Xenopus tropicalis: one gene and its partners. The protein of the gene in region 1 interacts with the protein of each later gene in a pairwise test. Links are inferred from orthologs where the notes say so. Each region holds a gene or a part of one and is shown in the gene's direction. Other genes may lie near its edges.

Region 1 (3,656 bases):
TCTGCAGCTCCAACCTGGCCCAAGGAAAGTCTCCCATAGGGCTCAATGGCACTCTGCAGCTCCAACCCGGCCCAAGGAAAGTCTCCCATAGGGCTCAATGGCACTCTGCAGCTCCAACCCGGCCCAAGGAAAGTCTCCCATAGGGCTCAATGGCACTCTGCAGCTCCAACCTGGCCCAAGGAAAGTCTCCAATAGGGCTCAATGGCACTCTGCAGCTCCAACCGGGCCCAAGGAAAGTCTCCCATAGGGCTCAATGGCACTCTGCAGCTTCAACCCGGCCCAAGGAAAGTCACGATAACAAAGCTTGAGCTTCTGAGCTTTCGTACTCGTTGTGACAATACAATTTTGTCACGCAAAGTACAAAAAAGTCGGGCAAATTAACAAAAATATTGCAGAAAATAGGCAAACGTTGTAAACTTTCGAAAAAATATGATTTTTTTTGTATTGGGACATATTTTGATAAATGTGCCCCTTAGGGTGAAGACTCATAGGGCTACTAGTAGCAGCTACTTGTCGTGGCTACTAAAATAGACAATGCCGATCATTTACTGATAATTGTCTCTACGTGTGTTTTAGCAGATGCAATTCTCATTATTGTCTATGGCAGGGGATTTTCTGGAGTTTAGTAGATGTGAAAAAGTAGCTGCTACTAGTAGCCCAGTGTGTCTTTACCCTTAGGCACTCCTCATGCAGGCCACATTTGGGGTTACCTGAATGAATGTGCCAGTTGGTTAGAGATAAGTGCTGCGCTGATGGGTGGCAGAGTCACCTTGCTGTGTACAGGTGTAGGTTCATTGAGTTCTGGTGTAGAGAGTATATGTAGTTTAGGGACATAAGAGTGTAGTGCAGCTGCCTGTTATAAGCAGCATCTATTTATGTCACCTCCTACCCCCTATGTACTAATCTTCCAAGCCTTATCAAGTTGTCTTCAGTAAGGTTTGGAGAAAGCCAGCTTGGTAGCTCATCACATATAGCATGATAGCACAGGGCGCAGTGTTATGCACTGGTAAGCTCTTTCATTTCCAATTAAACAAAATCTGTGTTGGTATGTCCTCCTTATGTTTGTGTGGGTTGCCACCATATACACAGGCTTCCCTCTTGAGCCTTAAGGTTGCCATACACTGTAAAGGTGGCCATACACACTAAGATCCGATCGCTTGACGTGGATCGGATCTTCTCCCGATATCAGGCTAATTCGGTCATTTGACCCTGGGGCCAAACGATCGAATTAAAATGATGGGTATAGGCGTCGGTCGGTTCGGGCCGCTGCGGGTCCCAATCAGACTGATTTTTAAACCTGCCCGATCGATATCTGGCTGATTTCAGGCCAGATGTCGGTCGAGCATGCCTGTCTTTAGTGCTGATAGGCTGCTGAATCGGCCCGTGTATGGCAGCCTTAAGATCTGCTCACTTGATGAGCTCACCAAGAGAGCAGATCTTTTTCCTATATGCCCACCTATGGGTGTGTGATATTGGACTAAATAAAATGGTGGGCATAGTCACTGTTGGTTCGGGGACCATATCAATGAGCCGTTGCGGTCCCCAATCTAACGTAAAAATCAAACCTGCCTGATCGAGCTCTAGCCGATTTCAGGGAGGTCCATTGTTGGTGCCTATACATGGGCAGATAAGCTGACAAAATGGTCTTAAGGACTTATATGGGCAGCTAAAATTGGCCTGTGTATGGCCACCTTTAATGCATCCACCTTTCATCAAATCCCACAATTTAACCTGCCATTGGATTGTTTCCTTTGCCTTATCTCTGTCACTCTGCTAATCCTATGAGGGGCTTAGAAACCTCCAATGATGTATATACTGTATGGTGAGTTGTATGTAGGATTTTTTAAACAGCTGTGTTGTAAACTGCCTAAACACAACACAATATTTTGTTCACTAGATTGCAAGAAAAGTCCTAATAAAACCATTTCAAAACTAAGGTTTTTTTTCCTCTCTCTCTTTAAAGTGAAGAAAATGTGTGGAAGCTATGCGAGTATATCCGAGACCAGCGACCTTGTGATCTGGATGAGTTCTCAGCTGTGTTTATATCCAATGAAAACAAGATGGTAAGATGACAGCATGGATACAGAACATATTGCTGACTGGGCATTCTGGGTTGCACTTATGTTAGTAAATTGCCCCTTGTGTTTTATGTGTGATGCACCAAGATGCTGTGTGCAAGTCCTGCCTTGGTGATGTGGAGAATCAGGGCATTGCAGAGAGGGTAAAGCCCCAATCTAAGGGTTGAGATACTGAGAGCTGCTTGGGCAACACTGATGTACTGCAAATATTCTAAATATATACACTTTAAAATATCCTTTTTCCCCCCCAAGGGTCTCACTGTGATGCTGAAGCTCCAGATTTCCGCTCCTAATACTATTCCTGGTAATGCAGTTGCACCTGAATACTAATGTACATTCGGGCCTAGTAAGCTGTTTTCCACAATATTCTGTTCCAGAGTTTGCCACATAATACATTTCCTTCTGTGTCTGTCCTGCAGTACAACATGCCTGGCTTGTATATTAGTTCTTGGGAGGCTTATGCAAGATATTATACGTATGTGCAGAAGTACAGAAACAAAGCCATAAAAAGTCAGGTTGGTGAGAATACTCTCATTGCTATGTTCTTCTTTCAGATACCCATTTGGAAGCAGAAATCTGCGAAAGGGGATGGGCCTGTAATATGGGTGAGTAATCAGCCTTTGTAGAAAATATATTTTGCCTTATCTGTATTAGCTGATGTGCACAGGTGATACACAGGAATATTACGACTTTTACAGCAGATGCTGCAGCTGCTGGAAGGTCCAGGTGTTTAGAGGACCCAATGGCCTAGAGGGCCTTAAAATTTTGCTTTGCTCCTAGAAATCTCTACAATGTTGTTATTCTTTCAGCCTCTGCTTCTTTTCATTTGTGTATAGTTCCTGTCCTGTGAAGTAGTAAAACTGTAACATTAGGCTGGTAAACCTTCTGGCTAGCAGAACTGCAGCTGCTTTAGGAGAATGCATGAGGCATCTCTCACATCACTAGGTGGATAGTAGTTAGTCCACCCATGATTGATTCAATGGGGGGAAACAAAGGTGGCATACAATTCAGTTGCAGTCTCATTTCGTTTGGTGCTAAAGGCCAATACCACACATGTTGTTTTAAACTAGGGTGACAACAGGGACATGCCTAATAAATACATGTTGCAGGGCAGCACTGATTGCATTTGATATCAACTGCAATCAGTTTGGTGCTGCTAGCTGGGTTCTTTAGACGTGGCCCTGAATTTTCAAGTGATCTGGTCACCCTACAACTCAGAACAGAATGTGGTGGTGGTCAAAATACCCTTTTAAAAGAAAGGCTACTGGCACACAAAGCTCATCCAAGGGGAACTAGTGCCAAACTATTTATTAGAGCAAAAACAGTATAGAGGCCTGGGTGTGCATGTGGTATTTTTCATTATCTAGGTGGTCAAAATACTCTTTCTCAATTGCCTCCATTTACTATTGAAAATAGTTTGCTTGGCAGAAACAGGTATTCACCCAAAACAAAAATGCTCTCCTTAGTGTTTCAGAGCTCTTCTCAATATTGTTCACCTCAGTTCTTCCCAAGAGCACCATTTTGCTCCAGGGTGTTATAGCCCTGGGGCACAGAGAGTTTAATTAATTTCCTAAAGTC
Region 2 (3,656 bases), on another chromosome or scaffold:
TTGGGGAGGCCACCTAGGGAGGGCTCATACATGGGCAGATAAGCTACTGACTTGGTCTTTAAATCTGTCTGTGTATGGCCATCTAAGGGGGAGATTTATGGAAATTCCTTGCAATATTTGTTGGTTAAAATTGGTGCAACAGTTGGTGTGTCTTAACTCGTTCACCATTATATAATTTGTTGCTTGAAATTCTTTAGCATGACAACGGTCAAACAAGGTTTTCTTGCATTGCACACGGTTCTTTTAGACTTTAGAGATAAAACAACGTAAGAAATCTCAATGGCTCATGAGAATTCTCTAATAAATGGAGAGACAGAAAGATTTCCATTTGAAGAGACAAAATCTGCCTATTAGTTTGAATGGACCTAAGCACATTTTAGCTGCTACATTTTTTTCATTGCAAATATGCCACCAAGACATTGTATGAAAAATTGTTGAACAGGAAAAAAAATGTAATCTGCAAGAAGAAAAAAGAAAAAAAATTTCTTCGAACACAATTTTCATCCCAGCCTTTGATAAATTGACCTTGTAGAGGAGCTTTGCAATTATTAATGTAGTATAAAGTCAGAAGGAGTATGCAAGTGCTTTAAATGGCAATATAATGCCAAACAATGCAAAATAATGCACTCGAGGAAGAACCAGCACCAGGCTGTAAGTTTCTAATCCAAATTACTGTGTTTTCTTTAGATTTGTGTAACATAAATACAAATCTATGGAGACTTAAAGGTAACCAAGTTTTGACATTCAAGGGGATCTAAACCCAAAAAATGAATTATAACACTTCTGTGAGAACCTTTGCAAGTTACATTCATCTTCTATTTTAGGAGTTTCTGAGATATTTGCATTTTTATACTTTTCATACCAGTCTATTGGCTTAACTGTGTTTACACCACTTTATTTTCTTAGGTTTAGATCCCCTTTAAGGTGCAGATGAAAAGGGGTTAGTATAATAGTGGCCATAAAAACATATGCCCAAAATACATAAAGACCAGATATCATGTATTTGGCTGCATCCTGCTTCATGCCTGTCATATAGACATTGATAAGTAGCTACCACTAGAGCACTAGGATCAGTTGCTTTTCTTTTGTAACATTTTTCAGGTTGTCCTTGCACTCCCATATGATACACCAGTTCCAGGATACAAAAACAATACAGTGAACACCATGAGACTTTGGTCAGCAAAAGCTCCCAATGAGTTCAACTTGAAAGACTGTAAGTGGAGGAACCAATATCTATGCTTTAACACATCCCCTCTATAATATTTGCTTGCTATGTTATACTTTTGTACCTTTATATTTTTTACTGTTTCATCATTTTAAATCAATAAATATACTGTATGCCTAGAATTCAATATAAATTCAGGTGTTTCTGACTATTTAACCTTTTCTTTGGTTTATATCAAAAAGTAGATGCTTCTATTTGTAAAAGCCCAATGGGGAGGTTGATTTACCAATTTCTAAGGTTGAGAAAACAAACCTTTGAAAATAAACCTGAGAAAACCCACACAATCTTTTTTAAGCAATGCCTTCTTCCCCTTGAGTAGTAGCTTATTTTAAAAAAAGACTCAAGAAAAGTAAGTGTAAAAAAATAGCATACAAGTAAAAATCACAATGTTCCATTTATTTTCAATATGCCTAAAAATCCTGAATGTTTTAATAAACTAAAGTTTAATAAAGTTGTTTGTTTACTTCTGTAGAAAATAGACAAATTTTACTTACATAGTTACATAGTTATACTGGGTTGAAAAAAGACCAGAGTCCATCAAGTTCTACCCTTCCAAGTAAACCCAGCACACACAACCTATAATTACCTATCTATACACTCACATACATAAACTATATATACAACCACTAATACTAACTGTAGATATTAGTATCACAATAGCCTTGGATATTCTGATTGTTCAAGAACTCATCCAGGCCCCTCTTAAAGGCATTAACAGAATTTGCCATCACCACATCACTAGGAAGGGCATTCCACAACCTCACTGCCCTCACCGTGAAAAACCACCTACGCTGCTTCAAATGGAAGCTCTTCAAATGACCTCTTGTGCGTTGATCGTTTTTAAGGGAAAAAAAACACCCCCCATCTGCCTATATTCCCCTCTAATGTGCTTGTACAGAGTAATCATGTAAACTTGCCAGGTTTTTTCATGAAAATTACTGTGTTTGTTTCTCTGATTCTCTGTGACTATTTGAGGTTTCACAAATGATTATCTCATATATTAATGAATTAAGGAAAAAACTCAAACTTGAATTTAAAAAAAAAAATTATGTTTTTTACATGGGCAACATTTTTATTTTTTTCCTTACTCCAAATGCATTAAAGTCAGTGGGTGTTTTTTTTGCAGCAACTTTTTGTCTCACCGAATTTTTACACGGCGAATCTTTTCTGTAGTTTCATGAAAAAATTCACCAATGGCACAATGTGGAATTTCACTGCAAATTCATTCCTGCCAAAAAAATTTGCTCATCACTAATCGCAATGTCTTGCATGCTCCTTTACAAGCCTGTTTTTATCAGATTGTAAAAAAAGATGGCAGTTTTGTTATCTGTAGTCTTCGGGCAAAGTCTTAGCAAAAAACAATTAAGTCAAAGCTCCTTACCATATGTTTATGGCTTAGGAAACGTAGAATGACTGTGGGGTGTCGAGTTTTTAGACACCCCTAGCTTGTCTTGCAAAAATGCACCAACCTGGGTACTTTTCTTATCAGCACCATAGCAATTTCTGTGCTGTCCAAGCACAGATGATACTGGGGCACTGGGAAAGTATGGCAGCACAGGGCTGAGTAGAGAAGTACCCTGGTCTGGTGCATTTTTGGAAGAAGGGGGCGCTGGCCAGGGGTCTATAGTAAGTGACTCTATGGGGGGGGGGGGTTGTCAAGATCACTACAGAATGTCACACGTGGCAACCTTTTAGTAATTCTATATCAAAAAATTTGAAAATGGCAAATTTGAAACCATTAGACATCTTTCCATTAATTGACGGGAGACGGGCTTTCTGTAATTCAGAGCTTTCTGGATAACAGGTTTCCGGATAAGGGATCCCATACCTGTATATTTTTATAGAGACCTATATTGTTTGGGGGTATAGTTTTCCTTTAAGGACCTTTAGAAAAGCATTTCTGAATAGCGTACATAAGTAGCGCTTTATAAATAAAAATATACATACATACATACAATAGTAGTGAATAGCAGTGATGAGCGATTTTTTTTCGGCAGGCATGGATTCGCAGCGAATTACCGCATTTCGCCATTGGCGAATCATTTAGCGGACCGTGAAAATTTGCTGCGGAAAAATTCACTGCACATAAAAAAAATTTGTCACGTGTCAAATTGGGCACGGTCATTTCAAAATTGGTTGTGGGCGCGTTGAAAATCGTGCGACAAATGTATTCCGCAAATTTTCTGCCGTTTTGCGATTTTTATGGTTAAGCAAAACGGGACAGATTCGTTCATCACAAGTGAATAGAAATTTCTGAGCATATCCATAATGTCTAAAGATTGCCTTATTTCTGCTTCTTTCAGTTAACGTGGGTGGTTACATCCAAGCAGTTTTGGACCGTAATCTTGCTGAGAACATTTCTCGAGTTCTATATCCCAATGATAATGTAAGTGGTTTATTATAATTGTTCTTAATATGGAACTTTACCTAT
Region 3 (3,656 bases), on another chromosome or scaffold:
GACATAATTCTTTCACATATGAATGATGGTTGATATCCCCACAGTAAGGACCAAGCATTTGGGATTTTGCTGTGCTACCACCATTGTGATAAAATAGGTGTGGTTTGAAGTGGGTGTGGTTTCAAAAAGGGGGGTGGTCAAAACTGGCTTCCATTAGCGGCCCTCTACCATGTATGCTAGAGAAATTCCGGCCCTCGGCACTGTAGAAGTTGGACAGCACTGACCTGAATAATGGACTTCTGTTTATCTGTGATCTAGAAAGTCACACCAAAGGTTACCCCTTTGTTGTTACTGTTTTGGTTTACAGATAAACAGAAGTGTGAGGGTTTACTTAAGCAGAACTCCTTATGAAGCTCTAATTAAACTAATTCAACAAAAAATGCATAAAAAGTATAGGCAGAATGTATTCTCATCTTAATCTGTTTATTTTTGCACGTGGTTAAAAGAGGCAAATATAGGTGTATGCTGCCCCTTTAATAAAATTATTTTGTGTCCCTTATAGTTTACTGGTTCCTAAACCTTCAATATTTATAATTCAGTAGTGTAAACTTAAGTATGAGCTATTGACTGTGAATAAGACTCGCTGTCACAGGAAGTGTTTCATTTATCATGGTTCCCTGACAACACGTGCAAAGGTTGCAGGGGGTTTCAACAAAACCAGTGTCCTACGAGGTGGAGAGGTGAGAGGTTAACCATGATAGGGTATTTTGTTACTTTAGTGTAATGTGAATAGCAAGGATGGAAAAGTGTTGCTTTGAAATAATCCACCTTTAGTCTTCTGAATGTAATTTAGTAGTAGGACACGGAGCTTTCTGTTTAACGAGCAGCCATAAGATGCTCGGATCATTTGCTATCCTGAGGATAAACTTCAAAGCAGAGGTGCGCTCAATGAATTCATGTTTGCTGAGCATCAAAGGAATTTTTATCTTTTTACTTGAAGAAAAACACAGAGTTATGTGATTCACTTAGGGGTGGCCTGGAGTAGAATAAAAGGGATCAGTTCTGGGGCACAACACAACAATATGATGTATACATGGTGCCTTGCAAATCTGTGTAAACCGTTGAACAATGTTCTCATTTTACTGAATAATAAATCCTACACTGAAGTTTTGTTCTGACATATTTCTCATCTTGTGCTCATCTGACCAAAAACATATTTTCTCACATTGCATCTGGACGATTGTGCTTTTTGCCAAACTCCAGATGTACTTTCACTTTGTTCTTAAATAGAGTAATGGCTTCTTTATGCCACACTCCCATAAAGTTAACATAGTGCGCCTCACTTCACATCTCCGCTACTGAAATATTTAGCTCCTTTAAGTAATTGTCCTCTCTGTGTTTTTTCTCACAAGTCTTCCCCTTATCTGAGCAGAGATAGGTCACATCTGATTCCATGTCCTCACTGTAGATTCCACGAGATCCCAACCATCTATGGTTGCCACCTGTCCGGTTTCTAAACTACCTTTCTGGGTTTTAGAGGTCTAAAACCTAGCTCTGTGACTGATGCAGTATTCAGCCAATTAGTGGCAGCTGCATCATACTTCCCCTTGATGTCATCTAATGTCATCATCTCTGTCCCAATATCTGGCCTTTGCAAAGAAGAAAGGTACACTCAATCAGATGCCTGAAAAATAAGGCAAATGTCACGTGTATGGACAGCTTTAGTGTTCCAGCTTGTTTTATGTCCTTTAATTCAGAGCATAGTAATGATTGTTGTAAAATATGTGAAAGGATAGGATATGGGGTAGGTCTGTCTGAAATCCACTTGAATTTAGGGAACTGGTGTTTTTGCTCCTTGATGTGAATTTTTAAAACTTGGTAGAAAAAAAAAATTCAAGTGGCAAAATTAGTCAGTAAGTACATTTTTTATATTTAAATGTATGATTTCTGTTATTCATTGAGCTAAAAGAAAAAAGCTACTCCATGGTTGGTCCTTGTGAGGTAGTTAATTTGTTAAGAAGTGTACAACTAATCTCGCTGTATAAATGTACTACTGCCTGTCTATATCTGATCTAGAATGCATAATAGTGGCACACTCAAAAAATAATTCGATTTTATGTTCTAGATCAGTGATCCCCAACCAGTGACTCATGAGCAACATGTTGTTCACTACCCCCTTGGATGTTGCTCCCCATGGTCTTAAAGCCAGGTCGTCATTTTTGAATTCCTGGCATGGAGGCAAATTTTGATTGCATTAAAACCCAGTATAATGCCAAACACAGCCTTCTGTAGGCTGCCAGTTCACTTAGGGGCTGTTAAATAGCCAATTATAGCTCCTATCGGCACCCCCAGGAACTATTTTCATGCTTGTGTTGCTCACCAACGCTTGAATGTAGCTCACGGGTATAAAAGGTTTGGAATCTCTGTTCTAGAGCTTCTGCAGCAGGAACAAATCTGTAGATAATGTGTGATACAATGCATCTCTTGTTATAAATATTGACTTAATAAATGATATTCAAAATCACATTAATATATTAAATTCTGAAATACAGTGGGATTAGAATTTCACTATATTGGCACATGGTTCTGTATTTCTAATACCTGTATGTTTTGTAGTTATATTGCTCTTGTTAAAAGGCAAACATTTGTTTTACAGCTCGAAGAATATTACAGACTGAGAAGTCTTTCTTTTGGTCCCCAGATACCCTCATGAACAGAAACACATCAAGCCGGTGGTCTGCGACAGCAGAAAAAGAGCAGAAATAGGTAAAAAAAAATAATCAATGTGTAAATACAGCAGAGATGGAAATTTGGTCTAATCTTAGGGCAGGGGTACACGGGGAGATTAGTCGCGCAGCTACAAATCTCTGTTGTCACGGGCGACTAATCTCCCTGCAATGCCATCCCACTGGCTAGAATGTAAATCGCCGGTGGTATGGCATATGCGGCGCCGTGATTTGCCGAAGTTGCCTTGAGAGGAAGCTTAGGGCAAATTGCGGCCCCGTGTATGCCATCCCACCGGTGATTTACATTCTACCTGGTGGGATGGCATTGCGGGGAGATTAGTCACCCGCGGCAACTAATGCAATCTTCCTCTTAATACTACTTTACTTTATATCACCCCTATTTAACTGGCTACTAAATTTTCTTGTAAAATTTACATTCAATGGGGTAAATTAAACAGTACCTTCTTTATAATGGAAGTTTAAAGCAGGCAGTAGACCATGCAGTAGCTTTCATGCAATAAACTACTATTAATTTGTTTTAGGTCATTTGGTTTTCAGCCTGAGGTGCCAACATTGGAGATGAGGACTTCAGAAGAGCAAGCAGCCACCACAGTTTTGCAGCGATTGCTGCAGGAGCAGCTGCGTTACGGGAATCCTAATGAGAACCGCAACTTATTGGCATTGCACCAACAAGCCACAGGGAACGTGCCTTTATATGGTGGTGGTCAAGGTTCCCAAAATGAGGGCCTGACCTCACAAGACCCCCAGTTAGTTCCACATGCAGCTCGCCAGGAGCCACAAGGGCAGGAGATCCAGGTGGAGAATCTGATGGAGAAACAGATACCACTGAGAGCTCAGAACAGTGAAGATCTTCCTACTTATGAGGAGGCCAAAGTCCAGTCTCAGTATTTTAGAGGACAGCCTCACACCAGCGTTGGAGCTGCTTTCTATGTAACTGGTGTGACAAATCAGAAAATGAGGACTGAAGGT

What was found.
Region 2: the proteins of wdyhv1 (region 1) and glycogen phosphorylase, muscle form interact in binary tests that used the Homo sapiens proteins (3 or more experiments, as listed by UniProt). The two-hybrid records come from large-scale screens. The link is inferred for Xenopus tropicalis from reciprocal best matches to the Homo sapiens genes NTAQ1 and PYGM.
Region 3: the proteins of wdyhv1 (region 1) and amot interact in binary tests that used the Homo sapiens proteins (3 or more experiments, as listed by UniProt). The two-hybrid records come from large-scale screens. The link is inferred for Xenopus tropicalis from reciprocal best matches to the Homo sapiens genes NTAQ1 and AMOT.

What each region holds. Positions count from the first base shown.
Region 1 is NC_030682.2:139,829,031-139,832,686, forward strand, and holds part of wdyhv1 (protein N-terminal glutamine amidohydrolase), read left to right. Parts: intron 1-1,963; coding exon 1,964-2,063; intron 2,064-2,632; coding exon 2,633-2,683; intron 2,684-3,656. UniProt on the Homo sapiens protein: Mediates the side-chain deamidation of N-terminal glutamine residues to glutamate, an important step in N-end rule pathway of protein degradation.
Region 2 is NC_030680.2:40,446,472-40,450,127, forward strand, and holds part of glycogen phosphorylase, muscle form, read left to right. Parts: intron 1-1,101; coding exon 1,102-1,213; intron 1,214-3,528; coding exon 3,529-3,611; intron 3,612-3,656. UniProt on the Homo sapiens protein: Allosteric enzyme that catalyzes the rate-limiting step in glycogen catabolism, the phosphorolytic cleavage of glycogen to produce glucose-1-phosphate, and plays a central role in maintaining cellular and organismal glucose homeostasis.
Region 3 is NC_030684.2:52,180,854-52,184,509, reverse strand, and holds part of amot (angiomotin), read left to right. Parts: intron 1-2,596; 5' UTR 2,597-2,706; intron 2,707-3,208; 5' UTR 3,209-3,245; coding exon 3,246-3,656.